Linked DNA regions of Mytilus edulis. The main gene of each other region encodes a partner of the protein of the gene in region 3 in a complex. Links are inferred from orthologs where the notes say so. Each region holds a gene or a part of one and is shown on either strand. Other genes may lie near its edges. The genes, in order: dynein regulatory complex subunit 5-like, F-box and leucine-rich repeat protein 13-like, dynein regulatory complex protein 1-like and dynein regulatory complex protein 10-like.

Region 1 (8,839 bases), on a different chromosome or scaffold from region 3:
AAGTTGTCTAAAATACCCTGCACAAGGCACCGGAATACCTTATGCAGTCCACGAAAAATTAGTTATTTTATCTAAGAACATTTTAAACTACAAAGGTACCCTGCACAAGACACAGGCAAGCCTTATGCAGTCCTCAAAAATTAGATATTGTATTTAAGAAAATTTAAAACTACAAAGGTACCCTGCACAAGGCAAATGCATACCTTATGCAGTCCGTGAAAATAAGTTATTCTATTAAAAAAAGTTATTTATTCAGATGAGGAAATAAAACAGTAGGTATGACATTTGATAATACAAATATATTGAAATAAAGATAATTCACTGTGCTTATGTCTCTGAACAGGTGTTTTTTTTTTTTTGAAAGATGATGTTCTTTCGCTGATTTTTCTTTTTCTTTGACCAATTTTTTACTGTCTTCTTGCCATCACTTGAAATAGACACTTTGTTGTCTTTTAGCACAAGGTTTAGTGATTCACTATCATTTTAGTCCATGGTTTATTGAAATTGCGGTCAGGGATATCTCCCATAGCTGCTGAACATTTTTTTTCAAACAGTTTTCAAAATACCTATGAAAGGTGTTTGTAGAATCCATGGATTTTTCCGACGTAGTCGGTATAGTTTCGGTTTGTGCCCTTTGAACTTAAGGACGCTTAACTATGGCAACAGAATACACATGCTCGAAAATCCTTTCTGTGATTGGACAAAATGCTGTCATGGTGGGTGATTTGGTTTTGTTTGAAAAAACGTCTCGTTAATTATATCGTGATGGAAAGCAAGTGAAAAACTATAAATATTTGAACTAGATCTTACAAAGATTTATATTTTTATTAAAATAATTGTTTCTCCAATAGCTCTTTGCATCCATGACAGCTGTTTATTCGGGACAATTATATTATTTTTAACTTTGTTGTACGAACGTACATGACTTTTATAACGCACCTACGCATGTGAGATTTCTGTGGGGTTTTGGTGAATGTAAACAGAAAGATACAAGGACCGAGAATACTGAACACAAACAGAGAAAACTTGTAGTTACATTCAGATGGAGATTTAATTAAAGAGGTCCTGCATCATTAAGTCATTGTGCTTCTGAAGGTTATCGAAATGATAGTTTTAAACATATACTCAAATTTAAATACGTCGGATATCTTTTTTAAAGTTAGTTCTTGTTTACTATCTCTTCACTTTTTGCTTCAAAACATATTACACCATCTACAGTAAGAAGGCCAGATCTCCAAAAGATGGATTCCAAAATCATGTCTCTGTCTTTCTTATCAACAGTGTAGTCTATTAATTTCTGCTCAGCATTTAGACGTAAATAGTAGGTACATAACATTTTGCCAGATTGAGGAAATGCTTCTTTAACTGCATTTATTAATCCGATTTCCTCATCAGAACCTAAGACCGGTTTGAATTCTCAACACCGCGAAATTTTACTTTTAGATAGTTAAAAAAATTGATGAAACATTCAAAGTCACTATTTTCATGTGTAATAACGGGTCCGAGAAAAAATGGGAGGGTTCTGAAGTTGTTTCCATATTTACAGCAGTCTGTTTGACGCATAAGGCGGTCATTTGCATGTCACATAAATTATTTTTTTATCGCTACCCACTGTCATGACTGTAGATTGGCCAAAACAGTACAACCTTTTGATCTCTTCTAACTGCTGTTCTGTGTATACAATAAGACAAGTGGCTTTGTCATGGTATCTGATGATGGACTTAAGCTTTATAATGGAGTCTTGTTCTGACAGTTTTTTGTCTTTTTCATTGATTTAGTCTGTTATATTACAAAATGTATTAACCCTAGTCATATATTGACCACAATCGTTTTTTCGTTGATTCTCTTGGTCTCTGTACTTCTTATCTTGAACTTGAACTCTCCTACTGGTGGTATTTGTTATGTTTATATGTCAGTTTGTTATCAATTGAAACATTCAAAGGCATTTCTTTTTGCAGAAGATGAGATCTGACTTCTCAGACAAAACAGTTCAATGCTGGAGTGCACACATAGGCAAAGGTACTATTTTTGAAGAAAAAAACACCCCAGTATTTTAAAAATTAAATCTCACATACAACATGATAAACCTTTTGATTTTAAACCTATACATGTTCACACAGTAAACAAACTTGTGAAAAAGATCAATATAAAACAAGCTACTGGCGTAGATCAGATATGAACTAAACTACTACGAGCTGGTGCAGCAGTACTCAACAAACACATAACAACATTAATAAATAACACCATAGAATCCAGTGAGTTTCCAAACAGACTCAAAGAACTCAGGTTGTACCATTACACAAAAAGAACAAGTGAAACTGCGAGCTACTGCTCACTGATGATACCCCCGCCACAAGTGGATAATATTAATAGTGTAAAAATATGCAAGTGTTCGGTAAACAGGAAGTTATCGAGTGATGACTCTGAAAAGGCATCACACGGTATAGCTGACTTATATAAACCCTGAAACCAAATTTCAGAAATCCTTGTATTGTAGTTCCTGAGAAAATTGTTACGAAAATTTTCACAACTTGGCTATCTTGGGTAAAATCATACAAGTGTTCGGTAAACAGGAAGTTGTCAAGTGATGAATCTTAAAACGCATCACACGGTATAGCTGACTTATATCAAGCCTGATACCAAATTTCAGAAATCCTTGTATTGTACAAATGTTGTAGTTCCTGAGAAAAATGTGACGAAAATTTTCAACTTGGCTATCATGTGTAAAATCATACAAGTGTTCGGTAGACAGGAAGTTGGCGATTGATGAATCTAAAAACGCATCACACAGTATAGCTGACTTATATCAAGCCTGAAACCAAATTTCAGAAATCCTTGTAGTGTAGTTCCTGAGAAAAATGTGACGAAAAATATTCATGGGACGGACGGACTGACTGACAGACTGACGGACTGACGGAAGGACAGACAGAGGTAAAACAGTATACCCCCCTTTTTTTCAAAGCGGGGGTATAATGACCCACTGGATAAAAAGAAATATAGACCTGTGAGCATTTTACCAACAATTTCAAAAGTATATGAAATGGTTATGTCTGACCAGTTGACTGAATTTTTTGAGAATATATTTCATGCTTTTTTATGTGCATTCAGAAAAGGTCATGGATGTCAGACAACTTTGCTGAGACTCCTTGAAGATTGGAAAACAGCCCTGTATAATAATATGTATGTGGCAGCTATTCTTATGGATCTTTCAAAAGCTTTTGACTGTTTACCACATGATATTCTTTTAAGTAAATTATCTGCCTACGGTCTTTCTTTTAAATCAGTGAAATTACTTCAAAATTATCTTACAGATCGTAGGCAACAAATCAAACTTCAGGGAGTACTCAGCAGTTGGGATGAAATCCAGAAAGGGGTACCCCAAGGCTCAATCCTGGGGCCCCTATTATTTAATATTTTTATAAATGACATATTCTATTTTATTGAACATGGTACCCTATATAATTATGCTGATGATAATACTCTGTCATATGCAGACAACAATTTTGAAAATTTATTATGTACACTTGAAAGAGAAAGTGCTGTTTTAATTGACTGGTTTAGTTTTAATTGTATGCAGGCAAATCCTGACAAATTCCAAGCCATTGCAGTTGAAAATAAAACATTTGCAAAAAAGCCCGTTTTTGATATATACAGTCAGCAAAAATATCCTGTGATGAGATTGTCAAACTTTTAGGTATTGATATTGACTATCAACTTAATTTTAATCACCACATTAAAAATATTTGTCGTAAAGCATCCCAACATCTGAATGTTTTAAAGCGCATTGGCTGCTACCTTACTAAATTGAATAAATTTACCATTTTCCACACATTTATTTTATCTAATTTTAATTTTTGTCCTTTGGCATGGCATTTTTGCAACAAAAATAACACCACCAAATTGGTAAAAATTCAGGAAAGGGCTTTACGATTTATATATGAAGACTATGTTAGTTCATATGATGAACTAATTTTACGAGCAAAGGTTCCATCATTGAAAATAAGACGTATGCGTAACATGGCTATTGAGTGTTTTAAGATTTTATATAAATTGTCACCACCATGCTTACATGATTAAGTAGTATTGAAAGATTGTAAATATAATTTTAGAAATTCTAATATTGTAGATATACCAGAAAATATATTTTCGTCTCTCTCGGGAGTTTAACACAATATGACAATGAAAGACAGTGTGTACCTAATAATTCCCGCCAACTTTTACATTATTGAAATCTAAAATACCTAGCCTTCCGAAAAACATAACATTGATGGTAAATACCTGAGAGTGCTGAAAATATATTTCCGGTAGGTGTCACTTTAGTACTTTCATTTTCAAATGTAGGGCCTCGATTCGTTCTATTTCAGAAATGTCAAGTTTGTTTTAAGGACTGCAATAGTTATATGGGAACGAAGTCCCCAATAACAGTAGAAAATTCAATAAAAAAAAATTAAAAAAAAAATATCGGGAAAATTTTTTCATTGTACTAATGAACTCAAAATCATTCAATTTTTTTTTTGTCGCGTTTTTGAATTTCCAGATCTGCGCAGAAATCTACAATGTACTTCCTTTTTCCGGTCTCGTTTGTATGAAACTTTGAGTAAAATATATATTTATCAGTCTTGTATAAAATAGGAAAGAACGCAATACCAATTTCATTTTTTATAATTCCTCGATATGAAAAAACGTTACCTGATGATAGCGTTTCTTTGTTTACATTGTATATGACGTCATTACTTAAATAACGTCACAACTAAAATCCCTAACAACAGGTCAGAACCAAAATCCGGGAAACGTTACGGTATTTCCATTTCTTTTTTTTTTTTAACAAATATTTAAGGTACAAAAAAATAATTCCTATAGACTTCGTCCCCATTTACAGGTAATGCCTGCCTCATATTAGAGGTTACTTAAGGTAATAAATATATGTCATCATGGTCATTGCAGAGATAATTCAAGTGGGAACAGATTTATTCAGTTCACAAAGGAAGTGAAAGTCTTAGAAAAATTTTACAGCAATAATTTGAAGCATTGTCGCAAATGAGCTTCCTCCCTTGTGTTTTTTTTTGGGTTTCGTATGGATAGTAAACCCGGCAAATTTATTGTAACAAGCCCCTGTGCTGTGCTTCTACCACTATTAAAGTGACCACCATCATTAGGTTGACTGTCCTGTAAATGTTTGTTGTGCGCTTGTTTACCTTGGGAAATCGTGGTACAGTTGTATATAAGATCTTTAATTTCGGGTGATTTTCAACAGAACCAAAATCGGAGAGCGTTTATACGGTATTTCCTATTCTTTTCTAACACATTTTGAAGTTACAAAAAAAAATCATACAGACTTCGTCTCCTTTCACAGGTAATGCCTGCCTCATATTATCTACTTTACATTTAATTCAATATACCTGAATTCATATGAAATGGGATATATTTAAATGAAAATGAAAAACTATGTCAGCAGAAAACCTGCAGATGGGCGCAGCCATTTTGTTTTTCCACCGGATACGGAACTCGCTTGAAAATCTACTTCCGGATTGTCATAGTAACGAGAAGCTTTTAGAAGATCATACTGCAGAGTAAACTGGTAAATTCTATTCTATGTTCAGACTTTTGCGTCACTTAAATGGCAAAATAAGTCTTAATATACTCTTATATCAAAGACGTTTCTGTATATAGTGTGTAACATAATTAGAGCAAATAATTATCACAAACCTTTGGGCTTGACATCAGTCATCACAGTATCAGAATATTTTGTTACTCACATGTACTACTATTTGAGGAATCCGGGTCCGTTCGCCCTGATTTTTATTTTTTTCTAGTTTTTGTCTAGTCGCATTATTTTAAGTATTTGAACAAAATATGTTAAAGTTTGGTTTTTTTTTTTAATTTACAGAATATTTATATTGCTGCAATCAATTTATCATTTTCCCTTTGATTTGCAGAGTAGAATACTGGAATACAATGTATTCATCTTTATTGATATAAATTGTTAACAAAATGATTGTATTCAGTCAATCACGAATGTATGGCAGTATGACTAGTCTTTATAGACTAGAGTATAAATAAATAAACTTGTAAATTTTATCCGTTTCATAATTTACAGTTGTACATCATTGTTTTTATTAATTTCAAGCTGAATATTTTATCAAAACAACAGATTTGTTTTTATTATTAATCGGCCAAAAGACAAGTATGACACAATAATCAGTGATTCAAATTATTTTGTCAGTGAACAATTAATTATCCTAAACAAGCCATAAACTTTTAAATATTTCAATAAATTTCAAGAATATTATATACATGTACATACCATAGAAATATCTATTTTCATTCAACTTCAATGCCCTCAATATTAATATTTTTATAGTAGGGCGAACAAACCCTATGGGTGAACGAACAGACCTAGGGGGAACATGTTTTAAGGGGGAACGCTCCCGATACCCTACATGAGGGTTGTAATGCCCTTTACCTTCAGGCATTAAACAGTCATTTACGGCTACCATTAGGGTCAAATTGGTTAAAATTTTACCATTATTCGTCAAAATATCCTTATCGTAATTTGTCAGATGTCTCAAATATTTAACGTTACTGTTATATTTGGAGAAAAAAAACAGAGTGATTTATCAAATTAAGCTGGTTTTTTTTAACGTCATGCACTAAAAATTACTGTTAACTTCATACGACAAGAATTTTTACTGTTATACACCATGAAGGTACCCCCATTACTACCCTCCTACATGTATATTATATACATGTAGTACCATCTATACAGATGGGGTACAAGATCTGACTACCAATTCCAACAATATGGAAGGAATTTCAAATATGTTGCTTTATCCTTAACAATGACTAGTTCTTGTCATATATTATTCATAACAAGTACTCACATCTTGAAATTAATAGCCATTAAGATTAATTTTACAAAACCACACTCATTTAGGCAAATGCAAACATCTTAAGACAGCTTTAAATGATATGAGACAGGCATTACCTGTGAAAGGGACAAAGACTGTATGAATTATTTTTTTTAATTAAAACATTTTAACTTCAAAATCTGTATAAAAAGAAACACAAATACTGTAAGGTTTCTGATTTTCGGTTTTGGTTCTGTTGTTAAGGATTTTATTTGTGACGATATTTAAGTTATGACATTCTGAATTGAAAATGCTGTAGATGAAGTCTTTATTTAAATTTTTAAAAATCACCCCTGTATACTTCTGCAGTCAAAGAGCTCAGCATTTTTTTGGGTATAAATTGACCATGACAATACCTATAGCTTGGCAATTGATCAAAAATAAAATAATAAATGACTGTCAGAGAAAAAACTATTAGATGTTGAAATCAAAATTGGTCAAATAAAAGGTATATTGAATTTATTTAACTTTAATTTTGTCTTCATATTTTTATCAACAAATTACAATATTAAAAGCTAGTTTAGAATTAAGGTATAAATAGACTCACTACACCAAATTGTTTAACACATTCATTTATACATTGTAATGCTTTAATAATATGTTGTTATATTTTCTGTGAATGATGTAAAATTCATAATTAATTAACTGTGATTGTTGTCTTTTAAAATGACAATTTTGTGAACACTAATTATTAATTAGTGACAAAATTTGAAAACTTTTTGATAAGCTGTCACATGTCATGGACCAGAACTTCCAATTAGATTTAAAAACAAATAACCTAATTACATTTTTCATTAAAAAAAGTAAGTCAATATTCATTTGCAGTGGATCTGACTGTTATTCCTTTTAAGTTAAATATACCACGTACATGTATACAGGTAAAGTGCTTGAATTAACTTATAGATATTTTCAGTTGGTTTCAATGCTAACAAAAATATTGAAATACAATTTAAGTAGTATCTGGATTAGGCTCCTCTTTTTGCTAGAAAATTTACTACAGATCATGTAAAATTAACATACATGTAATGGGAGAGTTATAATATAAACCTAACATTTGCAGTTGTAGTACACTTTTCTCCAGTTTAATTTAATAAGCTATAGGACTACAGTGTCTAAGAGGCACAGATTTGTTAAAACTTTTACATAATTATTTTTTAAATGAAAACTGATTGCAATGATTTATTATTTTTAGCCAAGATGTCTGATCCAGCAGTAACAGATGGTACAGGGGAAGATAAAATTGATGACGATGCCAAAAGTACAAAGAGTGGACCAAAAAGTCAGCCTGGTTCTAAACAACCATCTAGAGCTGGGTCTGCTCAATCAGGGAAGAGTGGGAAGAGTAGTGGTAGACCAGCTATGGCAGCAACTCCTGCTGGATCTGTTAGGGGAGATAATCCAGCAGCTGACTGGAGACAGATGAGGAGAATTATAGCTGAAGATCCAGCATATTCACTGGCAACTGTCCCATTACTGGTGGATTTGTGTATCAAACATATAGTTACACATTTTGATAGTAAGCAAATAGTTTTATATCATAAATTTCTAAAATAATTATACATTTACAGTAGGAAAATGTTAAACATAATTACAATAACCTTGACTTACTTTTAGGATAAAAGCCGATTCTCAGAAACTGTTCATTCTTTAATTATAATGAAAATTGTGGTGAAAATATTACTAACTTTTGCCTTTGATAGTTTTCTATACAATATTTTTTTTTGCTCATTATTGAAGGCTATAAGGTGAACTGTAGTTTTAACATCCTTTCCTTTGATATCTGGTGGATAATTTCATATGTAATCTTACTACATCCCCTTTCTTTAATATATTTTACATTGATTGGGGTTTTTTTTTCTGTTGTCATAAATTGATGTATATTACATAAATACTGGATGCTTTTAGTTTTGGGTATGTTAAATGGATCAATC
Region 2 (7,993 bases), on a different chromosome or scaffold from region 3:
CACATATTATCCTTAATAAAAAAAACTCCTACCTGGAACTTGATTGACCTCGTTAGGCCAGACAATATTACTACTCAATGTAGTATGTTTCACTGTATGGTGACCATTGCTTTGAAATGTTTGTACAACAGTTCCAATTGCTGGTACGAAGTACACGTGATCTGTAGTAAAAGGTGCTCCATTAAAACTAGACACAAACAAGGAATAATCGTCGTTTATTCTCCCGGTATCCTGTGTTCGAATCAAACTCAAAAATCCTGGATGGCTGACTGTAAAATTGCCAATGTATTGTAAATTGTATGCCGAAATGAGCTGCATTGAGAAAATTAATGTCATGGTAGCAATACAAATTTGTTTCGATTCCATGTTTGGTATCCGATGGCGGTTGTGTTTTAAGTATAACTGATTATAAATCAGTGCTATTTGTATAATTATTTAGAATGACGTTTACATATATATTATATATAATTATCCAATCACACTTTCTTATCCCGCACTGCTTTGGTAAGAAGTTCGACGTACTTGGGAATCATGCCACTTTACTATATATACGACAATCTTAGACTAGAAGATTAGCCTAGGACATAGCATAATTTGTCCGATAGCTGGTGTGTTCTAATTATGTGTGGGATATTCGTCAATGTGGAAGAACATAAAAAAGACAAAAATACATTTGATAAAAAAAAGATGCAGACTTAGGGACGATTTAATGCTTGTGATGATTTAAAATGTGTGGGTGTTTGTATGTAACTGCATATTTTTATTTACATAGTGTTGTGTTTAGTACTTTAAAGGTAGATTTGCTTGACCATGAACCTTGTAGGTATGTTCCTTGCTATCATCTGTTCCAGACATTTCCCGCTGGATCACTCTTGTACTGGCCTGATCATTGAACTCAAATAAAGATAAAAAAAAAAAGGGTTATATCGTTGGTAGCATTACCATTTTCTTTATCGTAGATATATTCATGAAGATAAAAGTTTAAACTACTATACTAACCTTAGTTTTCCTCTGTTTTGTCGTCACCTTGACAAAAAATGAATTTTCTCAGCATGGTTTATGGAAATGATTGTCTCTAATAAATACGTCATTCCACTTTGACCATACTAATATCAGTTATCTAACACACTTGTCCTTCTGTAGTGCATTCCATGACTAGTAAAGCACATCTGATAAGATTAAAGTAATGTGGTATTAGTCATTTTCTTATTTCAATGAATGTTTTCAAACATCTAGAACACTAACATATTTTTGGTAAGTATTTCAGGTTTGAAACTTGGATTAAGATTTGTCCCATTGGCACTCATACCACATCTTATATCTCCTTAAAATGTTAATTGGAAGAATGAAATTTGCAATGAGATTTGTTGCAATTGTTCCTTCATGTCTCTTAAAGTTTAGTTACAGTATGTATAATGGACATAACACGACTTTATAAGATATTTCATGTACACCAGTTCACAAACGTATGTGCTTAAGCTATAACTAAGATTGCCATTCACCCTCTCACTCACAGAGACTTGGTTAGCAGATTAGAATTTTGTTTGTCAATGTTTTTTTCAAATCTTTTTTAGTTTTTCCTGTCTATATATTTGCTAGAAAATATTTATGCTAACGTTAAAAACGTTAATAATGTAATACAAATAGACTAGAAATACAAAAAAAGATTTGGAAAAAAAATGCTAAACAAAATTTTAATCTGCTTACCAAGTCATTGTAATTATAACGAAACTTTTGTCTTGTTTAATTTTTGTTTAAAGCTTTACATACAGGAATAAATCAATAACTATGGTCCAATATTTCAGTGCAAAAATCTTTAAGATTTCATGACATAATATAAATAGTTCATTAAGTTCTTTTTGTTACTAGTACTATAAGTGCTTAGTTCCCATCGCGCTCGGGACTCGAACCCGGGACCTCTGTGTTACAAAGCAGCGCGGCATAACGACTAAGCTAAAGAAGTACTTTCTTAGCTCAACCGCTCACGGCTGACTAAGTCTCTATCACAAGTATTATGCCATCTTTGCATTTATCTTATTAATGCATTTACTAATAAAATCAAATAATATGTGAACAATTAAAATTCCGGGAAAAGTATACAGATATGTATGTATATATATATATATATGTTCAATATGATAAAAAAAAATCTAAGCCAACGTTGGATTCAAAGATCGATGGAAAAATATTTATAATAAAACTTCTTGTACTCTTACGTGAGGGGGGGCAAGGGGTTTAACTGTTATGCTGTTATGGGGCAATTTAATTCTTTGTTATCTGTTATTTTGAAAATGTATTTGCTGTTAGCTGTTATTGTCTTATTCTTTGTTAGCTGTTATTGGGCTTTTAGTTTTTTTGTTATCTGTTATTGTGATAATGTATTTGCTGTTAACTGTTATTGAAAATTGGAATGTTAGCATTTTTTTTGACAGTCAATATTCGGTATAAATTGAAGATCATTGGCCATTGGGGTCTAACACTACTAATATGTTTGTCCTGTATTCAGAGAAGGATTCCATTAACATATACCCATCTCAGAAGTGAGGTCCAGGACAATTCAAGTATATCTTATGATTATCCTTTGTAATAAATTCCATTTTTTTTTTATGAATGTGTATTTAGAATTATCTTAATTTTTTGTATGAGAATAATGTTCCTTGTTTTCCGTACGAACATATTAAATTAAAACAATTCTTAATATGACAAAAAGGAAAACATATGGCTAGGAATATCTGACAAGGATCTCAATTAAGGACTAGGTCCTAACAACCACTTAACCTTTTATATAATATGGTACATAGACACAGCTCTGTAATTCTTTTCAAAGCAGAACCAAATGCATTGTACAATGAAAGTTCCAACCATGTACTTGGGTCCGAAGCTGCACATAACTCATTACAAACAAAGAGTTATTTCGTTTCAAGTTATTGTTTCCCTATTAAACTATGTATTCTACTTACTAGTACATTTGGTACAATCAAAAACCTCAGCTGATAAAAAATTGTTCAAATAAGGCCTTTGAAAATAGTGGAATAAATTGCTTTTAGAGTGTCAAAATTCGTTCAAAGTACTTGATAAATTGCATGCTTATAATTGGTGCTTTTGATTTTTCTACCCTATATACCACTTTGCCTCATAGTTTTATTAAGGAAAATTCACACACCTCATTAAATGGTCATTTAGAAAAAGTCAGAATATTCAAACTCTTTTAGGTCACTTTTTTGATTAGCAACAAAGGGAGCCTCAGTCAATATATATATATAAACAATACACCAATGTTTCATGAGAACTGCTGAAAACGTTTTTGTGTTAATGTCTGAAAACTGGAAAATCACCCCTTTTTAATTAATAAAACCCGTTAACTCGGAAACGTAAAATCTAAAATTTATAAAAATTGAAAGTGACCTCATGTTAATAGATATAAACGATAAATTCACCAAAATTCCTTGCTTTGTGAAAGCATTTTTGAGATATTATCAGAAAACTGAAAAAAAAACACCAATTTTATTGAATAAAAACCCATTACCCAGAAACTTAAAATCTAAAATTTATAGAAAAAAAAAGAAAAAAAAAAAGGGAGCGTCAATAGATATAAACAATTTCCCAAAGTTTAATGCAAATGGTTATAGAGTTTTTGAGTTAATGTCCGACATGTTGACAACAGACGGACAACAGTATACCATAATACGTTCCGTAAACGAGAGTATACAAAATATTATAATATATTGAGTAGTAATTTAAACATATTCTAGATACATAAATTAATACTAAAACATAGTCATAAAAAATGGAATGCATTACAAAGGATTATATCCGTAATAAGAAATACTGATTTGTCAAAGACCGAATTATTTTAATATTTCATTTACTGTTATCTGTTTTTGTCCATTTTAATTCCTTGTTATCTGTTATGAGCCAAATCAATTTGCTGTTTTGCTGTTTTTGGGACCCCCCTTGCCCCCCCCCTCTTACGTGACCACTGTCGGGTTTGGTTAGGAGAGGGTTGTGATCCCGCTAACATCTTCAACCCCGCCACATTCATAATGCAAGTGTCTGTCCCAAGTCAGAAGCCTTTAATTCAGTGGTTGTTTGTTGATGTGTTACATTTTTGTTTTTCGTTTATTTTTTTTACATAAATTAGGCCGTTAGTTTCCTCGTTTAAATTGTTTGCAGTATGGAATTTGCTCATTGTTGAAGGCCGTACGGTAACCTATAGTTGTTAATTTCTATGTCAGTGTCATTTGGTCTCTTGTGTGGAGTTGTCTCATTGGCAATCATACCACATCTTCTTTTTTTTATGATATTGACAACGCCAATGCCCATGCGGCAAAAAAAAAAAAACACAAAAAAAACAAAAAAAAACAAAAAAAACCTGACAAATAATAGTATACAAGACACAACACAGAAAACTAAAGATTGTGCAGCACGATCCCCACCAATAATGTGGGATGATCACAGGTTAAGTGAAAACATTTTTGTTTTAATCTCACTGATTCAATTTTGAAATTCCTGAAACTCTGATTTTGAAAAATAATAATTTTAGTTATTTATGGAAAACTTTTAGTGTGTCCAAGTTTGAATAAGTTCCCCCTCCTAAAAGGATATTGTCTATAATATGTTCCATAATAAGAAGGAAATACATATACATAGAAGATTATTCCACAATTCCTTCCGGAAATTGCAAGGTGCGCTACGCTATTGACTTGAATATTATAATCATTATCCGGGATATTTCGTTGCTACACAAACAACATGGATTCCAAAAATACGATAATTTGATTTATTTTCAGTTCACGCTGCTTGTTATATAAAGTTCCGAAAATGGCTGCATCTATGAAATCCTCTAACCCTGAATTAAAGACTTATCTGCGGTCAAATAAGTTACCAGATGTTTATGAGGTATGCATTTAAAGATGCAATAAATTTGGCTATAACTTCATAAGATCATTTTGTCTTTTATTTGTATTGTTTAAAAAAATGACAGGTGACAAGTATCTTTAATATAAGCAAAATGTCCTGGTCCTGACCATAATGTCAAATCTGACACAACTTGTACTTATAGCATTGTTCCTCACATGGTACAAAATGTACAGTGACGACTGAGACGACTGATGTTATTTATACTTATAGAAAATTTCGTACAGTAATTTATATAGTTTTTTAGATGCAGAATAGAGATACAGGGCTTGCAAGTTCTTGAAATGGTGCTGTACTTCCTATATGTGCTTCTACAATTTGAGACCTATTTTGTAGTTTTATTTATTTGTTGGTGTTTCTACTGATTTTATGATGTTTGGGATGTCAAACAGCATAGCAGGACCCATTATTAAATAGGTTTACTGTGCATATGAGAAACATAGAAAAAAGAAAGCCTGAGATACTTAATTTCACTACCATAAATATACATGGATGTACCAGCGAGATTAGAAACTGCAATATTTGGATCTGCAGGCAGTACGTGCTCTCAATGAGCCAAAGAAGATCTCCAGTATTCTCCACTGACTAGACCAGCTAAATCAGTAAATGTAAACTGTTGACTCCTTTTGTATCTCCAATTATGCATCACACTCCATCCTTTCTTCGTTTTTAACAGCCAATCATATATGAATTCTATTTGCTGCACACCCTTTTGGTGTTGATGGCAGAATTATCTTAGATTGTTTCAGTTCATTGATAACTTTTAAAGACAATAGACCAGCGTCACCGGAAAAAACCTCGTCAATTATGTGTGCCTTTATGACATCATTTACCAGAAAGAGGGGATCGCCTGTATCCCTACTTCATAAACATTCATCAAGCGTCTTAGTGATCATCAGTGTGCATGCAGGATAAACTAAAAATAATGTTTGTTCTTCAGGTACTTAATCGCAATTCCCTAATGGCAGCAGTGCTGAAAGACAATTCTGAGAATTCAATTTGCCGAATAATTCGTGCAATATAGCTTTTTATCCTGCAATTGGGTGTTCTACTATACAGATACAGCCCTACAGATATCGCTATGCTGTATCTGTATACTACATGTATACAAATATCACTTTAAAGCTCCACCCACTGCCGACTGAGTATTGTATGAACCTGCATGACCTCAGAATGTGTATTGCAGTCGCATTCCAATGACGTATCAATTGCGAATTAACGATTACTTTTATACATTCTGTTTGTTTTCACACATTTCTTTAGAGCAATAAAAATGGCACCAGTTTTCTGATAACATACACACATGATGTCTTTTCTAAGATGACAACTATCGATTTCAAAACTTGAATGTGTATGATTGTGTAACAAAAATAACCATGTCAATTTCAGTATGCATGTTTAGCTAATGTCGAATCTGAAGCATAGGACAACTCATACACTCCTGTTTCAAATTGGACAATGTTTTGTTATTTGTTTTTACTGTTGAAATAAGTTGTTATGTTATAATTATTCACCTTGAGCGATGTATTACTGTTGACCATTCAAGATTCTTTTTTTGCGAAACCGTCTTCAGCTGAATGTGTGACTACTGTATCTTATTACTACACGGGCTGAAAGGGATTTCAAATAGAAAATAAATGCAAAACATGTGTTTTTGTGTCTTTCAAAACACAAATTATATACAGAATTAATTGCAGGATAAACTACAATAGCTGTTGAGTGTCTTTAGATATCAGCTGTATTTGTACTCGGCTCGAAACAGGTGTAATAGCTCGCTAAAAGCATGCATACACCTTGTTTCCTAGCCTCCTACAAAAACTGCTGATATTTAAAGACACTAAACAGTTATTGTCTATATAATTTTCCAACCACTCGCTCAACATTAGATGGAAGTGACGACACCCCTAAACGCAAGAAATGCTGTTCACTAAAACCAAAGTTTCTGAGGGAATGCATCAAACTCGAAAGTTGTCTATTAAATGAATTTATAGCATGACATATTATATTATATAAAAACAAAATTACAAATATATTGTACCTCTAGAAGGCTTTTTTTAAATTTGTTGTTGAAGTGCTTTCTTGTTCAATGTTGATATTAAATCATGATTCTTTTTTTACCATTTATCAACTCTTTTTATAGGCACTACTCACTGGACTTGCAATTATGTGTCCTGAAGATCCCTTACAGTTTTTACTGGACAAACTCAAGTTTCTGACTGAAGGTGGTCTGGAAGAACTTAATTGGTATGTATATACATATGTACAATAATGGACAATTTACAACAGATTTTGATTTTGCCTGTCAATCAAGTTATCTTTGCATATTAAAGTCTCCTGTTATTAATCCTAACTGATCTTGACAAAAATTTATGTATTGTGTGTTGCAATGCATAACAGCTGTACTGTCTTTCCATACATGTACAAGTTTTCAAGGTATTAGGTTAGGATTGTCAAATAGATATAAAACTTTATTTGTAGAAAAAGTTTATTTACTTTTACATGTATACATGTTACGATAAGTGGAATGCAGATGAGTCATCTTTTCAATTTGATTTACTGGTAAAATAAATTAATATACAAGTTTGTTGTTTTGGAGGTGTCAGACTGTAATTGTATAAAAGGATAAAAGTAATTAAGACTTTCAATTATAGAAAAAGTTTGTATACTTGAATTGTAAATTAATACATGAAACCATTAGTCCTTAAAAAAAAATATGATGTTTTTGTATAATAATGAAACTAAGGTGGGAAATAATAAACTTTAAGGTAATAAGATTTTATTGATATGTATATTTTCAGGGATATGTTTGTTGATGAAGGCATGAGACCTGTAGCTAAAATAATCACAGAAAGTAACCTGGATTTTATATTCAACCTTGATGATGAGAGTATGATTGTATGTATCTAAAGCTTTTATAGAATAATGATCACATATAATCATTTGTTGTCCTAATAATTAATGTTTGATAGAATATATTATGTTAATAAATGACTTCTTTTTATATTTTTAGGTTAGGTTTTTTATATTTTATTTTTGTTTTGGTCATGTAATTTTTAGTAAAATTGTAAATAGATTC
Region 3 (8,514 bases):
AGATAACTCCAATTGAAAATGAAGTACATTTTTAGATTCAGCATATCAAAGAACCTAACTGATTCATTTTTTGTCAAAATCAAACTAAGTTTAATTTTGGACCCTTTGGACCTTAATGTAGACCAATTTGAAAACGGGACCAAAAGTTAAGAATCTACATACACAGTCATGACAGTTAGATTCGGCATATCAAAGAACCCCAATTATTCAATTTTGATGAAATCAAACAAAGTTTAATTTTGGACCCTTTGGGCCCCTTATTCTGTTGGGACCAAAACTCCCAAAATCAATACCAACCTTCCTTTTATGGTCATAAACCTTGTGTTTAAATTTCATAGATTTCTATTTACTTATACTAACGTTATGGTGCGAAAACCAAGAAAAATGCTTATTTGGGTCCCTTTTTGGCCCCTAATTCCTAAACTATTGTGACTGACCTTAACTCTCAAAATCAATACCAACCTTCCTTTTGTAGTCATTAACATTGTGTTTAAATTTCATTGATTTCTATTTACTTAAACTAAAGTTATTGTGCGAAAACCAAGAATAATGCTTATTTGGGCCCTTTTTTGGCCCCTAATTCCTAAACTCCCAAAATCAATCCCAACCGTTCTTTTGTGGTCATAAACCTTGTGTCAAAATTTCATAGATTTCTATTAACTTAAACTAAAGTTATAGTGCGAAAACCAAGAAAATGCTTATTTGGGCCCTTTTTGGCCCCTAATTCCTAAAATGTTGGGACCAAAACTCCCAAAATCAATACCAACCTTCCTTTTGTGGTCATAAACCTTGTGTTAAAATTTCATAGATTTCCATTCACTTTTACTAAAGTTAGAGTGCGAAAACTAAAAGTATTCGGACGCCGGACGACGCCGACGCCAACGTGATAGCAATATACGACGAAAAATTTTTCAAATTTTGCGGTCGTATAACAATGAAATGTATTATATACATGTTGACAAAAAAACACAAGAGCAAACATCAAAACTTGTAATATGCGCAAGAAGAAACGGCAATCAAGCATTTATGAATATTATTCCTGACATTATTGATCTTGTTAAAAAGGATAATTCAAAGATGTTAAAAATAATTCATAGATTCCTATTGCTTATTTAAATACAAATGTCAATTTAGTCTTATTATTTTTTGTTAAATAAATTTTTTGGTATTAGACAAGACTTTTATGCAATATGGACATGATTTCACTATGAAAAAATGTCCAACGAAGGTCACAATAGTATTTATTGTCAAGGGACACTTTTACATAGAGGTGGACAATATTTTATAATAAAATTATGTCCTGGACCAAATTTCATAGATCATATCCATGAAATTTGGTCCATGGGACATAATTTCATGGGGGACACTATTTAATCCTACACAGTAACCATAAAAATCGTCAAAGGTTGACAACATATCAAGAACTCTTACTCATGAAGACCTTGGATAATGTGTCACCTTTGATCAATATTTCAACGGAGTTGTACATTACTTAAGACAGTTTGGAGCTGTAGCAGAATGATTGTCTATCAGCAATAAATACTTCTATAGTATACAGAGATGCAAACAGTTTTTTTTTCCTGTCAGACATTGGGGCCTACAGGGTACGAAGTTTTGCCAGACCCATCACATTTCTGCCAGACCTATATTTTCACTCAAAATAATCAATGTAAAAACTTTGTAATATGTCTATAAATAACAATGAAATGTAACTGTTTCCTGTTAAGGGGTTTCCCGAATTTTCCCGCTAAAAAGCACATGGCTTTCAACAATTGTAAACAAAGCATTCAATTTGTGATCATGGATTACAGCTTTAATTAATTGAATTTGGATATAGATATTCAACTTAAGGTACAGTCAGGCAATGTTTTTACTTTTTTCTGGATTAAAACTAATTTGAAAGAAAAGTTTAAAAAATAAAATATATTGTGAATATTCAGTGACCCATAGATTTTTTGAACTCTGCTACGGAGGTTAAAGTTACGTCATTTTTCAAACCAATGGTGTGTATTCTCTGTTACAACTAAATAACTGCGTTTGATATAAATATTTCAATAAATTAACAATGTCAAACATACGATTTCAAAACTGAAATTTATACTGCAAAAGGTTTTATTTTTATTTTTTAAGGAAGGATATTTGGAAGGTGTCAGGCTATAATAGTTATCATTAAAACAGTTTGAACTCCCGATTTCTATTATGTAATCGAAGCCTTGAATGTTGTTCTATCTAATCATGCAACGTGGTTGTAAATTCACAATTTTATAAACAAAATACTCTGCCAGTACCGACGGGGAATTAAGTTTTGGCTGACCCAAGCAGACTAAAATATTGACGGCCATCAGGTCCTGCACAGCAACGAGTTTTGCCGGACCTGCATAAATTCTGCCCCTTAGGTCTGACAGGTCCGACGATTAGTTGCATCTCTGAGTATATCCTGTACCATTTAGTTAGTATCCAATCTACTATATTAAATAGACAGGAGTTGCAAATATGGTTTTAATGTTGCACAAAGTTAGTCAGGCAACAGGAACTATCCTGTAACCCGTGCCAATGTGCATATTAATGTCACTTCAAATCTCAACTAGCCCAACTTAAAACTTGTTACAATCAAAAACAGTCTTAGTATAATCGAACAAAAACAGTCTTAGTATAATCGAACAAGTAAACACATGTACCTTCAAACCTTTTTCTAAGATCTCTTCTGCCTTAGCGCCTCGTACTGTACAGTGACAGGCAATAGTTTCATTTCTTCTGATACCGAAGGACCTGACGGTATAACGTGCTGAAAGAACAACAGAATATTTAATATAAAAGAGAATTTTCAATGTTCAAATCACGTACCCATTATGGCAACAAGACAATTACTTTTAAAACAAACATTATACCAATTTCATAACATGTTCAAATATTTTTACAAAGTATAATGTCCAAATAAATTTAGTATCCAATCTACTATATTGAATAGACAAGAGTTGCAATTATGGTTTTGATGTTGCACAAAGTTAGTCAGGCAACAGGAACTATCCTGTAACCCGTGCCAATGTGCATGATTTATATGTACATAAGGATTTAAAAGTACATTAAACAGGTTGGGAACAAACCCTCTATATGGTGATTATACCTGTATAGAGGGATAATCCTTCTATAGAGGGGTAAATTTATCCCTCTACAGAGGGGTATTTTTGTTTAGACTGGATTTAAATCAAAATAGGGCAGAATGGCATTCTTTTCTTATTATGGCAGTAACCTGGAACAGTTGATGCACCAATTGGTGTACTTAATTTAATATGCACATGTCCAGTTTGATGCTTATCTGACTAAATATAAAATCTATTGTTCACCATGATTAAAAGCTGTGATGATCAGGTAAATTCTACTCACTTATGCCTCACTGAACAGAATTTCTATTGATATATTTCACATGAAATTTAAAGATCAACTATTCCTTTTGTTGTTGATCAGGTGTTCAGATAGGTAAACAATACTAGATTGCAAGTTTTGTCACTTTAGTAGAAAACTGGTTATCCCAATTTTTAGTAAAGTGCATATGTTGATGCATATAATGCTAGAGATTATAGCCAATATAAATAGAAAATGCCATTCTGCCCTAATTTGCTTTAAATCCAGTGCAAACAAAAATACACCTCTATAGAAGGATAATTTTATCCCTCTAAAGAAGGATTATTCCTCTATACCGGTATAATCACCATACAGGGGGTTTGTTCCCAACCTGTTAAAGATGCACTTATAAGAGAATTATATGTCAACAGCAAACTAAAAGAGGCAAAAAATATAACAGACAAGGGGTCTGCAGATTATCTTTGGCTTCTTCTGCCATAGATAGGCATATTCAGTGTGAAATAAAACTGGTTAATAGTTTTAAAATGTTTAAAGAGAACTAGCTATATTGGATGGATAAGTTGATGCAGCTAACTGTATAATTGTTCAGTTCATATTTTCATTGTTGTCCACTGTACTGGTTACAAAATCTTACAATAACAACAAGTTTCCAAGAGTAAAACCTAGTAATGCAGATTTTTTTTTTATTATGAATCTGGTTGAACATATGGCAGCTTTGAGACACATACAGATCTGAATGAGATGATTATAAATAGGACTATGTACATTTGAAGTGCGTTTGTTATAAATTAAGCATTTAAGAATTATTTGCAATTGATTTAACTGTTAAGAAATCCTACAATACCTTTTGAGAGCACTGGGGTCTGACCAGTTAGCTGTTCAAGCACCTTGGCGGCACGGGTAAGTCGATCACCAGACTCACCAACACAAATATTAATGCAGAGCTTGACGATCCTAAGATCTCGCATAACATTCTTCTTTTTGTCTTTATCCTGAAAAGATAAACAAAGAAAACATTTGATAAATAAAATTATAGCAAGAACACTTTCATGCACTTTAAAATATTTATATTGACCTTTTGGGACTACATGTTTACACCACAACAACTATACATAGAAATATTTGTGCGACTAGAAAATTATGATTGCAACTTAGCATCTTAAATTTCTAAGCTATTCTAATTTCTTCAATGTTACAATATATATGATCTTACAAGTTAGTGTGCATTTGTTAATTTTTACTATCTTCTGCATGGACTCAAATAGTTGCACAGCAAATTCCAGTATTTAGTTATAATTTGAGACCTCTGACTTTCATCATTAAATATGTTGACAAATCACAGGAAATCGTTACCCAATTTGATGTTTAGGGAGGCAAATAAACAGTTAGAAGTCTGGCGGTAAAGGTCATTACTACCCTCTTTTATTACTACTGAACCATGGGACAGAAGACAAAAGTGTTCGTATTTCTATTTCTCAGTTCTTATCAAATAGTTAAGGTGTAAACAACAATCTGACAACTCTGATGTGCACAATTTGTCGTTTTCACTAATTTTTTAACGATGTTCCCTGTAAATTAAGACTTTTACTTATAGTAGTGATGGCTGATGCTGAGTACTTTGAACAAGCCAAGGGGGTTGTCTATTAATATTATCACATTCGCTTGTGTTCACGGTTTGATACGAGTACACAAGCATGCAAAGAATGAATACATTCTAATGGGAGAGTTTCATTTTAAACAGTCTGCTATTACTCCTTACCATGTGGCAATACATCAAACATATATTTTTACCATAGTTTAACCCACGTCGACTGTTTTGGATTTGTACACCTTATTTTACAAAATATAAATGAGACAATTAACTATAATCAAGCTATGATATCTTGTTAAGAGACTTAAAGGTGTGTTTAGCTTTTATTATTAATCAAATAATCAGGATGACGGAAGATTTCATCACATGTAAAATTCGTAGACTAACCGCCATGATGAAAACAACAGGAAAAGGAAGTTGACCTGTTTACCCTTTCAATTCATAGAATTAATTTATAATTTTAAATAATGTAAATTAAAGACTTTTGAGTTAATTTTATACAGAAAAATACAACTTTGTAATAAAATAAATTAAAATATAGATAAATTAATACCTGAAGTACAACAACACGTGATCAATGGCCGGAACCTTCATAGCAACAATAACAACTAAACGATAGATCTTAAAAATTGTGCCGAAATCATGAGTTCAAATGGGGATTCAGATAATGAAGGGCCAACTGTTGATTCTGAAAATCCGGAGGAGAGAGTTGCAGCCCGAAGATTGCGGATCACACGTAGAATAGAAGCTGCAAAGAGGTTATTATAAATCTTCAGCACATGTCAACATAATTTATGAAATTGTCATAATTCTCAAAACTCATTAATTTTTAATAAGTTTAGGCATAAACACAAATTATATCAGTTAAAGATCTTACACAAACATTTCTTAATATACAGCAGGTGCCGTCTGTGACCTTCTGTCTGCTTTTCAACAGTGTCAGTGACAACAATCTTAAAGCATGTTGGCAATTTTTTGGTAGTGTCCAGTCTTCACACTGAGTGGCAGGCTGGCAGCCCAGGCTGGTAAAATTGCTCTCGGGCCTGTTAAAATCAGATCTACAGGGCAACAGAATCTAACTAAAAAATTTCAAAAATTGAGCTCCGGGCCTGTAGATTTAGCAGTTCATCGTGAAGACTGAGTGTCTGCGCGACCTTGCATGCAAGGATATGTAGACATATTCATAAGCTAATAGGACCTGCATCTGGTTTTATTAAAAACTGTGATGAGAATGAAACTTGAAATATACATGGAAATTATCGGTAATTGTCGATTTTGTGAATTCAGTGAAGAGAATACACCTTATATTGGTAACTGGGCGACAAATTGGGGGGTATGAGATTTCAACCAGTTAAATCTGGATCTCATTGGGGTCTAAGAGTGACACAGGATTGCCGATTTTTTGTAAGCGTGACACATGAAATTCCAATTTGTGTCCTGAAAACAGGAAATTAAATCTAGTGGCCATGGGAAATTACAATAAAAATGAGAATTGCTAACTGACAAGACAGTAAGCGGGATCTGGGATCAGAACCCCCAATGAGACCCCCTTAAATGCAAACGGATCTGATGACATTGAGTGGCAAGAAGAAAATTACATCTGACATTTAAGTATACTCTAAAAAATATGGAACTCCTATTTACAACATCTATAAAATATCTTTGAGTAAACATCACAAATGATCTACACTTGGGAAAGCACATAGAGGAGATATGCAATAAATCTTATAGGACATTTAAGGTTTACTAAAAAGAAATCTATCCGCATGTCCACTTGAAGTTAAACTCCAGGCATATAAAAGACTGATACGAACTGTAATTACCATCACTAAAAGACTGCTGTACACAAAACAGACTGATCCTTTTCTGCAAAAGCATACATGGTCAAGCAAACTTACCATCTGACCAACTGAAAAAACCATCCCTGACAAACAAGAACATGCACAGCCAACATTTCCTCAGACTTAAAACGAAAACAGAAATACAGTTTCATTCCAAATACCATCAAAGACTGGAACCTACTACCACCAGATATCTTCTTCAAAATTCATACAGCAAAAGAACCAGCTAAAACATTTAGTGAAATTGTAAAGGGGGTCCCACTTAAGTAAATTACTTGACATACGCACAATGTATTAATATCCTTGGATGTATTCACCGTAAACCTATCAAGATCAAGATAGTTATTTGTCTGCCATTACTGGACATCACAAAGGTTCCTGTAAAATTTTGACATCTTAAAGTTAATAGAAAATATCTGATGCAACAATAGAAAAGTGATTGTTGTATGATGTATGACATCAAAAGTTGAAGCAGAAGAGATTCTCAGATTTCCAAATAACCATAAGGTCACAATTTAGGTGTATGGCAAACAACATTTTCTAATTTGTATACAATTTATTAGTTAAAAATATGTAATAAATATTGCACATTAGATGTACACTATGAGTCCCTGTAAGAGAAAACATGATAGAAAAATAGAAATTAAATATAAATGCACATAAAAAGAATAAGTATATGTAAACAAATTCTTCTGTTAAAGGATTTTTCTCATGAAATTCAAAACAGAAACAAAATTTCAAAATATTTTAAAACGACTAAATATTCTAGAGCTCTGTTTGATTTGGAATACCAGGAATAGTGCATAATTGTAATGATTGCGTCTTTTTGGCTTAGTTAGGTATTGATGTTTGGCTGAGAACCAAGTTATGACATGTATGACAAGTTTCCATTGTTTTTGTTCTTAGGTCATACAAGTTGAAAACAAAAAACTAACCATGGGCAAATTTGATTATTTTGAGACATAATGCAAAATTTAATCCAGCTTTATATTTTAGGGCTGAAAGAGGAGAAGATTTAGACGATGCAAAAGAAGCCAAAGAGGAACTCAGTAAGAGCAGAAAACAAATTGAAGCTAGTCGACTTCGTTTAACTAAGTTAATTGAGGATGGTGTTGAACTGGTCACCAATATACGTGTTGGTTGTGATGCCAGGGAGGCAGCCAGGAGAACAGACGAGGAGGTTAAAAAACAGGACAGGTAAAAACTATCAGAAATAATAAACCACATGTGCTTGCAGGTTCAAATCTCATTTTGTATAATAATCAAAAGTTACTTCATGTTTCCCAATTGTTTATTTTCTCCATACATAGAAGATATTAATTAAAGGTTTTCTGGAATAAATTAAATAACTTGTGAAAATAAAAGATGAGTGCTTAGAAAACCCATCTTGCATTCAAACCTTGTTATAGGAAGTTAGTAATTTCCCCAGCTGGCCCCTTTTAAATGTTAATGTCACTGACATGATCCCATATATCACCTACAAAAAATGTAAGTAATGATATACATTAATTTTTGTAAAATTACTTTAATAGAAAAAATAAGTGATCTTCATATTTTCTGTTAATAGAATTTTTAACCAGAGGAAGGAAAACGTTCACACATTTTATGTTTAATTTATTTTCTATTGTGTCAAAAATAATGAAACATTTTAATTTCAGAAATGGTAAACTTAAGCATGAAGGGAAGACAATGGCTGAAAAATTTGAAAATGTAAGATTT
Region 4 (8,490 bases), on a different chromosome or scaffold from region 3:
TTGACCTATTTACATACTTCAGCTTCAAAACTTCATTTGGTCTCTGGCAAAATGTTGTCTCATTGGCAATAATACCACATCTTAATTTGATCTTCAATTGTTTGTTCATTGCTTTTATGTTGTTTTTGCTTCTGTAATACTGTCTCAGTTTGAAATTTCAATCAGGTGATGTTTTTCACTCTCAATAAGATAATAAAAGTTTTAGGGTTCAATAGGCTTACTTATAGATGTAATATAGAGCTTACCTAATATAGAAAATATCAACATGAAAAACAATAACAACAACAACATGTCTATAATAGGTGGCATGGACTGTAAAATCTGTCGGAATGTTCTGAAATAAATACAAAACAAAACAATTTCAGCTTTTAAATGTAGAAAATAAACTCATCATAGATACCAGGACTAAATTTTGCATATACGCTAGACGCGGATTTCGTCTACAAAAGACTCATCAGTGACGCTCGAATCCAAAAAAGTTTAAAAGGCCAAATAAAGTACGAAGTTGAAGAGCATTAAAGACAAAAATTCCCAAAAATTCTGCCAAATACAGCTAATATACACATGACAAAAGGTAAAACAGGTGGTAAAGCCTTATTCAACATATTTTGACATGAATGTTACAAAGTTTGGTTCCATTTAGACTGGTAGTTTCAAAGGAGATCTTGGCAAATGTTAACAGACACATGTGATTAAAATAGCCCATTTGGGCCATGTGAGCTAATAATATTAGACACAAACTGTAAATTCTGTTGGAATATTTTAAAATATTAAATAATAAAAGCTCTAGATTGAAACGAAAATCCTTGAACTTTATTTATAAAACACTTAGCTAGTACATAATTTTAGTTCAGTTAAAATTTAATTGGAATTTTGAAAATAAGGATAAAATTTAATCAATATTTATTTTAACTGGTTGCTTCCTGTCACTCAGAGAAACTAAAGTAATTTAAATTCTCAAGTGTTTGTTTAAGAGGGAAATTATAAACACTTAAGATTGATGTGAACTCTTTAAAATAACTGTTCTTTAGGAAGATCTAGAAGGAAAAGAAAACTCTATTTTAATCCATTTCCATAATTATGTTTGAATCTGTGAAACAGTGAAATATAAATGCATTCTTAAAAACAAGTTATATGATTGTAATAAAATTGAGAATGGAAATGGGGAATGTGTCAAAGAGACAACAACCCGACCAAATAAAAAACAACAGCAGAGGGTCACCAACAGGTCTTCAATGTAGTGAGAAGTCAGTTTGTGTCTAAAACCTGAACTCTGATTGATGTAAAACTTAAATTTACACAATGTGTCAAACCAGTGAACCATGAAATATGGGTACCTTGACCATAATAGAGTATTGTTCTCCCCAAAATTCCATAGCACACAATATTATACTGCTGTATATTCAATGACCCCTCTATCAGCATGATTACAAATAATCGCTTCAACAATATGGTAAAATTTAATATTAACAAACATACCTTCTGACCCCTCTGCAGTAGTATGTATCTATGAGAAACAATGGCCTCAGTGATCTTGTGACTCTAAAATGGTTATGCTGTCGTATTATCACAACTATAGTCTCTATAAATACGATGATCAAAGTACAACTCTGAAAAATAATTTTATTACTAACTTTCAGTTAAATTTGCACTATCATTAAAACAAGAATGTGTCCATATTACACAGATGCCCCACTCGCATTATCCTTTTCTATGTTCAGTGGACCTTGAAATTTTGCATCAATCTTACTTTAATTTTGCATTAAAATTAGAAAGATCATATCATAGGGTACAGGTATACTTAGTTTCAAGTTGATTGGACTTCAACTTCTTTAAAAACTACGTATATCTTGACCAAAAACTTTAACCTGAAGCAGGACAAACAAACGAAAGGAGTAACAAACGAACAGACGCACACACAGAAAAACTGGGGCATAAAAATAATCATTTGTCTATAAATAAGTATTTCTATTGATACAAAAAAAAATCATTAATTAATCTACATACCTTTATAAGAGTTCTTTTATGTTTGATGAATGTTCTGAATCCTAGCCACTTCATGCGTATTCCTAATTCTAACGCTAATATCAAAAGCCCAAACAATTCCAGTGATCCATGAACCTGTAAAATACATCTAATACAAGAACACATTTTATACCTGACTTAACTGTACATTTTCCAGGAGCCATAATCTATGTTATTGTTGGACAAAGGTATTTCATAAATTAAATTGAGAAAACTAATAAATGGCTTTATATATACATGTATGTTTATGCTTGCTTTCTGCTTATTCAGTCTGATTTTCATGATTCTGTCATGATTTGAATTATTTATGGTTAAAAGTTGATATCTGACCACTTACAATATTTTTTTAAAGAATAAGACTAGCACATCTTACAAAGGCAATGAAAAACATACAATGAAAATGATACTGTATTTTCCTTCCCTTCATAAAAGACTCAGTTTAAATTTGCTGGAAATTTTTATAATCAAAAGACTTGAGCTTTCGGAAAATGCTTGTTGAATTTACCAGTCAATAATTAAAAAGACATTGACAATTAACAATTATATGGTAACTTACCCCTACAGGGAGAGTTAAAAATGGCACTGCTGGTCGTTCACAGGCAGCTAATCCCATTACCAGCAGTGCTGCAAATAAGTCTAAAGCATAGAAAATTTTCTTGTGAGCAATTTTATATGCTGGCAATGCATTAAAGTCTCTGGGATGTGTACTATATTTATCATTGTTTTCCCCTTCCTGCAGATATATAGCTGCCTCTTGGTAATTCAGTTCCCAAGTTTTATACTGTTTATGTCGTCTAGTGATGGCATGGTATGGAGTGCCCTGGCCCTCCAAAATCTGATGGTTAGATCCAAAACCATTGTTTACATCATAAATAGAGTCACCATTACTGTGTATTCTGTTTGATGGAACATCATATTGGTCTTCATCTGAAATAGACATTAAAAACCAAAATAAACAGTGTTCTAGCTACAACCTTTGAAGAGGGCAGCTTCCGCCCTTTTTTATTGACGCCCGTTCCTTTTTTCTGTTGTTCCTCGGGCATCATACTTTTTATTACTGAACAACGAAGAGCTTTTTACATCTTATTGATATGTATAGTTTTATTTCATTAAAATTGATCAAAGGTTTCTATATATAAACCTGAAACGACCCCAGATGTCGATTCCTGAACAGTTAGCAAATTTAGACACAAAATTCAAGCTTGAGAATGTCTGAATTTGAATTTTGATCATTTTTTTTTTTTTTTACATAATTACGTTTCTGACACAGAAATAGAATTGGTCTGACAAGGATCTTACAAATTTATTGTGCAACCCTGTGCAATTGAAGATTTCTTGTTGAAACTTTTCAAAAAATTTAAAATTTGAAAAATTTTGAAAAAAATTTGAACTACATGTAAAAAAAATAGAGAACCCCCCCCCCTCTATCTTTTCGAATTCACAATGGTGCAATTACCCCCAAACTCAATCCTAGCCTTTCCTTTGTAGTATGGAACCTTGTAGTACAATTTCAAAGAGATCCATTCACTTAAACACAAGTTATTGCCTGGATTTAACTACAAAAATACTTGTTTTTGGCCCTTAGGTTTATAAACTGTTGGCACCAAAACCGTGCAAAATAAATTCCAGCCTTCTACTTGTGGTATTAAACATTGTGGTACAATTTCAGAGCAATCAAAATATTTAATACACTAGAAATTATTTTGAAACTAGAAAAATGCTTGTTTTGGGCCCCTTTTATCTATTAAAACGGTTGGGACCATCATCCCCATAATACACCTTATCGCTATTGCTGGAAATCACACAGGTTCCCGTAAAATTTTGACTTCATAAAACAAAATGTCTGACGCCACAATGGAAAAGTGATTGTTGTTGACGTCAAAAGTTCAAGCGGACGGGTCAGCCGGGAATAGCGATAAGGTGTATAAATCCTAACCTTCCTTTTTGTGGATTTGAACCTTCTGAATACATTTCATACAGATCTATTCACTTAAACTAAAGTTATTGTCTGGAAACCAAATTAATGTGTCTTAGGAAACGACACTGACATCAGGGCATCAAACTACCCAATAAAAACACACCCTGCAATAATTGAATCTTACCTGCCAAATCAATTTTCTCAAAATTTTGTAAATTTGCTTTCATGCTTAAGCATTAGTGACTAGTGTGGTATATTGTGACAGTTGACAGGCTGTGCGTCTCTTTCTTTGGATCATGGAAGTGACTGTGTATTTTCAAACTTGTCAGGTTTTATTTATCACTGGTTCATTTGGACTAATTTAACCCTTGTTATCTACTCAAAAATAAACTATTATCTCACTGACTTTCCGCAACACTATTTTTTCAATGTAGCAATTAAAATGCAATGTCACTAGCCAGTATAAATAGTCAATCTTAAGTGTTTCAAAAAGAGATGCACATTAATAATAAATACCTGAGGGTGAAAATCCATTTTCATTTCTGATTAATAGGGGACTTTCAATATTACCCGCCATATTGTTTTCATTTTTGATAATCAAGGATAAGTATAGAGGATTGCGAATGTATCATGTGTATTCTAAAAATATTCCGAACAAAGGTTATTTCCGCTTAAAAGTAGTTCCATGACAACTTAATAAAATCATGAGCAACATTTTTTGCTTTATTCCCTTAGGAGACTAATATCTTCTTTTTTTTTCTTTTTTTTAAAACTGTATTTTTCATTTCATCGAACTATTTTGTAGATTTATGCTATTCAAAAAAGAGAGACACAGAAATTGTAGAAGTACTATTTGTTGCTAGGGAATGCGTATTAAACAAATTCAATGTAATGCGGCTGCAAGACCGATAAACAGTGAATTGGTAATGTTGACGATGTAAATTAGGAATTATATACATATAAGCCTATTGTAAACGTTGTTATCGCCGTTATATTGTGCGAAAATGGCCACCACAGCAATGCGAACACAGACATTAACAGGTTCAATTGCCACAGAGCCAATTTTAAACATGAAACTAACAGTTCCCGTACCCCCTCAAAAAGGAGGACCAGGGAAAATAAGAAACAGACTCCGTTTAGATCCAGCGAGGGCATTAGAACCTGCAAGAAAAAAAATAGCCACAGTTGAAGCACAGCGTGTTATGTCAGTATTTGAGGACACAATACAAAGAATAGAAATTTCCTCAATGATCCCATACATTCTTGAAAATTTGGACAGATTTCGAATAAGCTTTGGGGTAGAACTTTGCAGCTTGCTAGAGAACCACAGTATTATAATCGGTAGTTACAATGAGATCAAAGAACAGCTTGATAGGCAAATGCAAAGGAATAGAATACGATCAGCCAGTTCTGTCAGAAGTGATGCATCACAAGAGCAACAAAATGATATGAATGAAACTCAACCTACTGCTGAAGATGACGAAGATGAAGATTCCGTTTATGGAGGCCAAAGTCCCCCACAGAGTCCTGTTAATAAGCCTCCATCTAGAGGTAGTAGTGCTAGCAGTCGAAGATCTAATCCTTCTGTTGCTAGTTTTGACAGCCAAACAGAACGTACAATGCGGAATTTGAGTCTGGTAGCTCAGCAACTTAGTTCCTCATGCAAAAACATTCTCAGACAATTTCAAATAAATGGTAGTGCATTTAATTCTGTTAAGACCCACTTTCATGCACGACCTAAAGAGAGTACCCAGCTTTTATCTTACATGAATGATTTGAGAGATATCTTACTGAATAAACTGTTAACAACACCTGAGGAAGAAAAAGAGAGAATGGCTTACATCCAGGAAGTTTCAGAAAGAGAGAGAAACAATGCTACTATCATTGCAAAGATGGAAGAAGAACTTGATGCTGCAGTTGCTGATAAGGAAGAAGAGGTATAATATTTAGATGGATTTAAAAATACTTGGCAAATTTTTTGACTCCAACATGTCAGTCTACATGCATCATGTTTATTGATACATTGTGGATGATATGCATTTATTAAGAGCACTGAATTATTGTATTTCAAATCATACTGGCATTCTCAATGATAAAATGTTCTCCATTTTTAGTTATAAAGTTACAGAAGTTGAATTTTTTTTAAGATTCTTGAATCAATATTTTAAACTCAAAAACATGTAAAACTATATATAATCAAACATGTCTCATAAAATTTAAAAAGAATACTATAATTTGCCTCACTTGGTTTACAATGATGTCTAACTTTTGCAAAGAGAACCTTTATTGTAAAAGAGAAACATTTTAAAATTTTAATGACTTTCAACTACAGATACATGTATATGTTGCCACCACAAAATTGTGTGAATAAATTAGCAATATATACTCACAATCATCATGTACATGTAGCACAAACAGCAGAAACAAATTATTGTAGTCTGTAAAAGAGTTATTGTCAACAGTAATAGTTATACAGAAAATTATAGAAGATATGATGACAATACACATAATTAACAGCGCCTAGTGATGTTTATAGTCTGACCAGTTTGTGTTATAGTAATAGGGGTTGGCAAGAAGTTCTATTTATTGCACATCACATTATTTTATTTAAGTTCAAAATGTATACATGTATGTATGAATTTAAACACATTATAATAATATAAATTGTATAATGATATGACACATTATTTCATATCATACATGTCATAGATACCAGCTAGATTATTTCTTTTAAACATGTGTGTATAAAGATTCTTTCTTTCTTTTATAGATGAAGAAGAAAAATGATGTAATAAAAAAGCTACAGACAGAGTTACAACAGATTATAAACTTTTCCAAAGAAAATATAGGAAGGATTAAGAATGAACAGGACAAACAAGAATCAGCTGATAAAAAGAACCATGAAGGCAAAGTACAAAGGCTGCAGAATGAAATAGTACAACTTAAAACCCAGCTTCAAAACCTTGTATTGGAGCATAGAGAAAAGGAACAAGATCTAAGAAGGGTAAGATACATTTTGATGCTGTAAATATCTCAAATACATACATGTAGCATTAGTATAATATATACAATGCTATTTACGAGTTAGCATATTTAAACGACGAATCCGCAGGATGAGTTCTATACATGTAAATATGTTAATGAGTAAGGCGTGGTGTATATGTTTTGTAACATCATTCAAAAGTGGCCTGGTGATTTTTTATCCAATAAAAACCCAGTGGGAATGTTGTTCCAGCCCCCTGCTTAACGTGTGCACGTGAAAATCAATCCAGTCAATTTTTTCGAAAATCAGCCGGTTCATTCAGAACAGAGTCGTAACAAAGAGGCAGGGTTTAAATCATGGTTTAACATGAAAAATATCAGATTAAACCATAGTCTAAACTCCACCTATCTACATGAAGTTGCAAGCACAAAGTATGTCATGACTTTTTTTAATGGAATAACATATCAATCTTTCTATAATAACCATGGTTTTTCAGAAACCGAACTATTAAGCAGAATATCACGTAAAAACTTCAAAGGAAAAATGCCATATTATGTTACAAGATATATATAAATCTTGTTGAACAAAGTCAAAATAATTCTATTGTAGTATTAATAATATAATAACTGGCCTATAAAAATAACCAATACAATGACATTTATCATTTCAAACTGCTATTTATTCAATTTTTTGGTACCAAATTCAAAGATGACATTAGCATGATTATGCATACATTGAATTTAGCTGAATTTATCATTGAAAAATTTACATATATTCAGATTTCACATGATGTTGAATTCTGATTTAAAAATATTAAGATTGGGTATATGATTACTGTGTACATGTACTTAAAATGTATAATTATGAGACAATTACAATCCGTTCGAAAACAAAGATAGTGGATGTAAACAAAGGCCACTGTAAATCAAATACTGTAGCAATTTAAGATTTATATAGTTATTATCTACGAGAATGATTAACATAATAAAAGCATGACATGAAGAAAAAAATATCAGCCCGATAAAAGATATGAACCAAAAATTGGCAGACAGAGAACAACTAATTGGCTCCTGATTGCATAGCTTTACATGTATATTACAAATTTCTTAAATTACAGTAATATTATTTTATATTTAACAGATGAAGTTTAAGGTGGAGTCACAAGTTGAAGGTTTAATTCAGAAATATGATGGCGAAATGAATGAGAGACAGGTAATTTCAGTCATATATGAAATAAATAGTTTTAGTATGACGTCCATTTTTACTGAACTAGTATACATATTTGTTTAGAAGCCAGCTGGGGGACACCTCTGGGTTGCAGGAGTTTCTCGCTACATTGAAGACCCATTGGTGGCCTTTGGCTGTTGTCTGCTCTATGGTTGGTTTGTTGTCTCTTTGACACATTCCCCATTTCCATTCTCAATTTTACACTTTGAATTCACCTACAACTGCTACTAAGCAGGGTGTTGAAGACTGCATAGAAAAGTTTGAATGCATTTCAAAGCAATGCAAAGTTATAAATGGATACAATACAGATATGAACACTCAAATAAATTTTTATCAG

The links.
Region 1: dynein regulatory complex protein 1-like (region 3) and dynein regulatory complex subunit 5-like share a complex: the UniProt entries of both Homo sapiens proteins name them as parts of the nexin-dynein regulatory complex. The link is inferred for Mytilus edulis from reciprocal best matches to the Homo sapiens genes DRC1 and DRC5.
Region 2: dynein regulatory complex protein 1-like (region 3) and F-box and leucine-rich repeat protein 13-like share a complex: the UniProt entries of both Homo sapiens proteins name them as parts of the nexin-dynein regulatory complex. The link is inferred for Mytilus edulis from reciprocal best matches to the Homo sapiens genes DRC1 and FBXL13.
Region 4: dynein regulatory complex protein 1-like (region 3) and dynein regulatory complex protein 10-like share a complex: the UniProt entries of both Homo sapiens proteins name them as parts of the nexin-dynein regulatory complex. The link is inferred for Mytilus edulis from reciprocal best matches to the Homo sapiens genes DRC1 and DRC10.

Annotation. Positions count from the first base shown.
Region 1 is NC_092346.1:62,497,884-62,506,722, forward strand, and holds the start of dynein regulatory complex subunit 5-like, read left to right. Parts: upstream 1-5,501; 5' UTR 5,502-5,578; intron 5,579-8,100; 5' UTR 8,101-8,105; coding exon 8,106-8,424; intron 8,425-8,839. UniProt on the Homo sapiens protein: Component of the nexin-dynein regulatory complex (N-DRC) a key regulator of ciliary/flagellar motility which maintains the alignment and integrity of the distal axoneme and regulates microtubule sliding in motile axonemes.
Region 2 is NC_092344.1:89,673,474-89,681,466, reverse strand, and holds the start of F-box and leucine-rich repeat protein 13-like, read left to right. Parts: upstream 1-4,722; 5' UTR 4,723-4,821; coding exon 4,822-4,899; intron 4,900-7,057; coding exon 7,058-7,161; intron 7,162-7,715; coding exon 7,716-7,812; intron 7,813-7,993. Other genes in the region: uncharacterized protein, read right to left, coding at 33-366. UniProt on the Homo sapiens protein: Substrate-recognition component of the SCF (SKP1-CUL1-F-box protein)-type E3 ubiquitin ligase complex.
Region 3 is NC_092355.1:22,110,533-22,119,046, reverse strand, and holds the start of dynein regulatory complex protein 1-like, read left to right. Parts: upstream 1-5,514; 5' UTR 5,515-5,596; coding exon 5,597-5,712; intron 5,713-7,791; coding exon 7,792-7,992; intron 7,993-8,453; coding exon 8,454-8,505; intron 8,506-8,514. Other genes in the region: large ribosomal subunit protein uL5-like, read right to left, coding at 2,679-2,785, 4,208-4,355, 5,321-5,347. UniProt on the Homo sapiens protein: Component of the nexin-dynein regulatory complex (N-DRC) a key regulator of ciliary/flagellar motility which maintains the alignment and integrity of the distal axoneme and regulates microtubule sliding in motile axonemes.
Region 4 is NC_092349.1:64,491,703-64,500,192, forward strand, and holds the start of dynein regulatory complex protein 10-like, read left to right. Parts: upstream 1-4,818; 5' UTR 4,819-4,947; coding exon 4,948-5,880; intron 5,881-6,713; coding exon 6,714-6,947; intron 6,948-8,066; coding exon 8,067-8,138; intron 8,139-8,490. Other genes in the region: two pore channel protein 1-like, read right to left, coding at 246-334, 1,480-1,610, 2,008-2,121, 2,582-2,952, 4,460-4,520. UniProt on the Homo sapiens protein: Component of the nexin-dynein regulatory complex (N-DRC), a key regulator of ciliary/flagellar motility which maintains the alignment and integrity of the distal axoneme and regulates microtubule sliding in motile axonemes.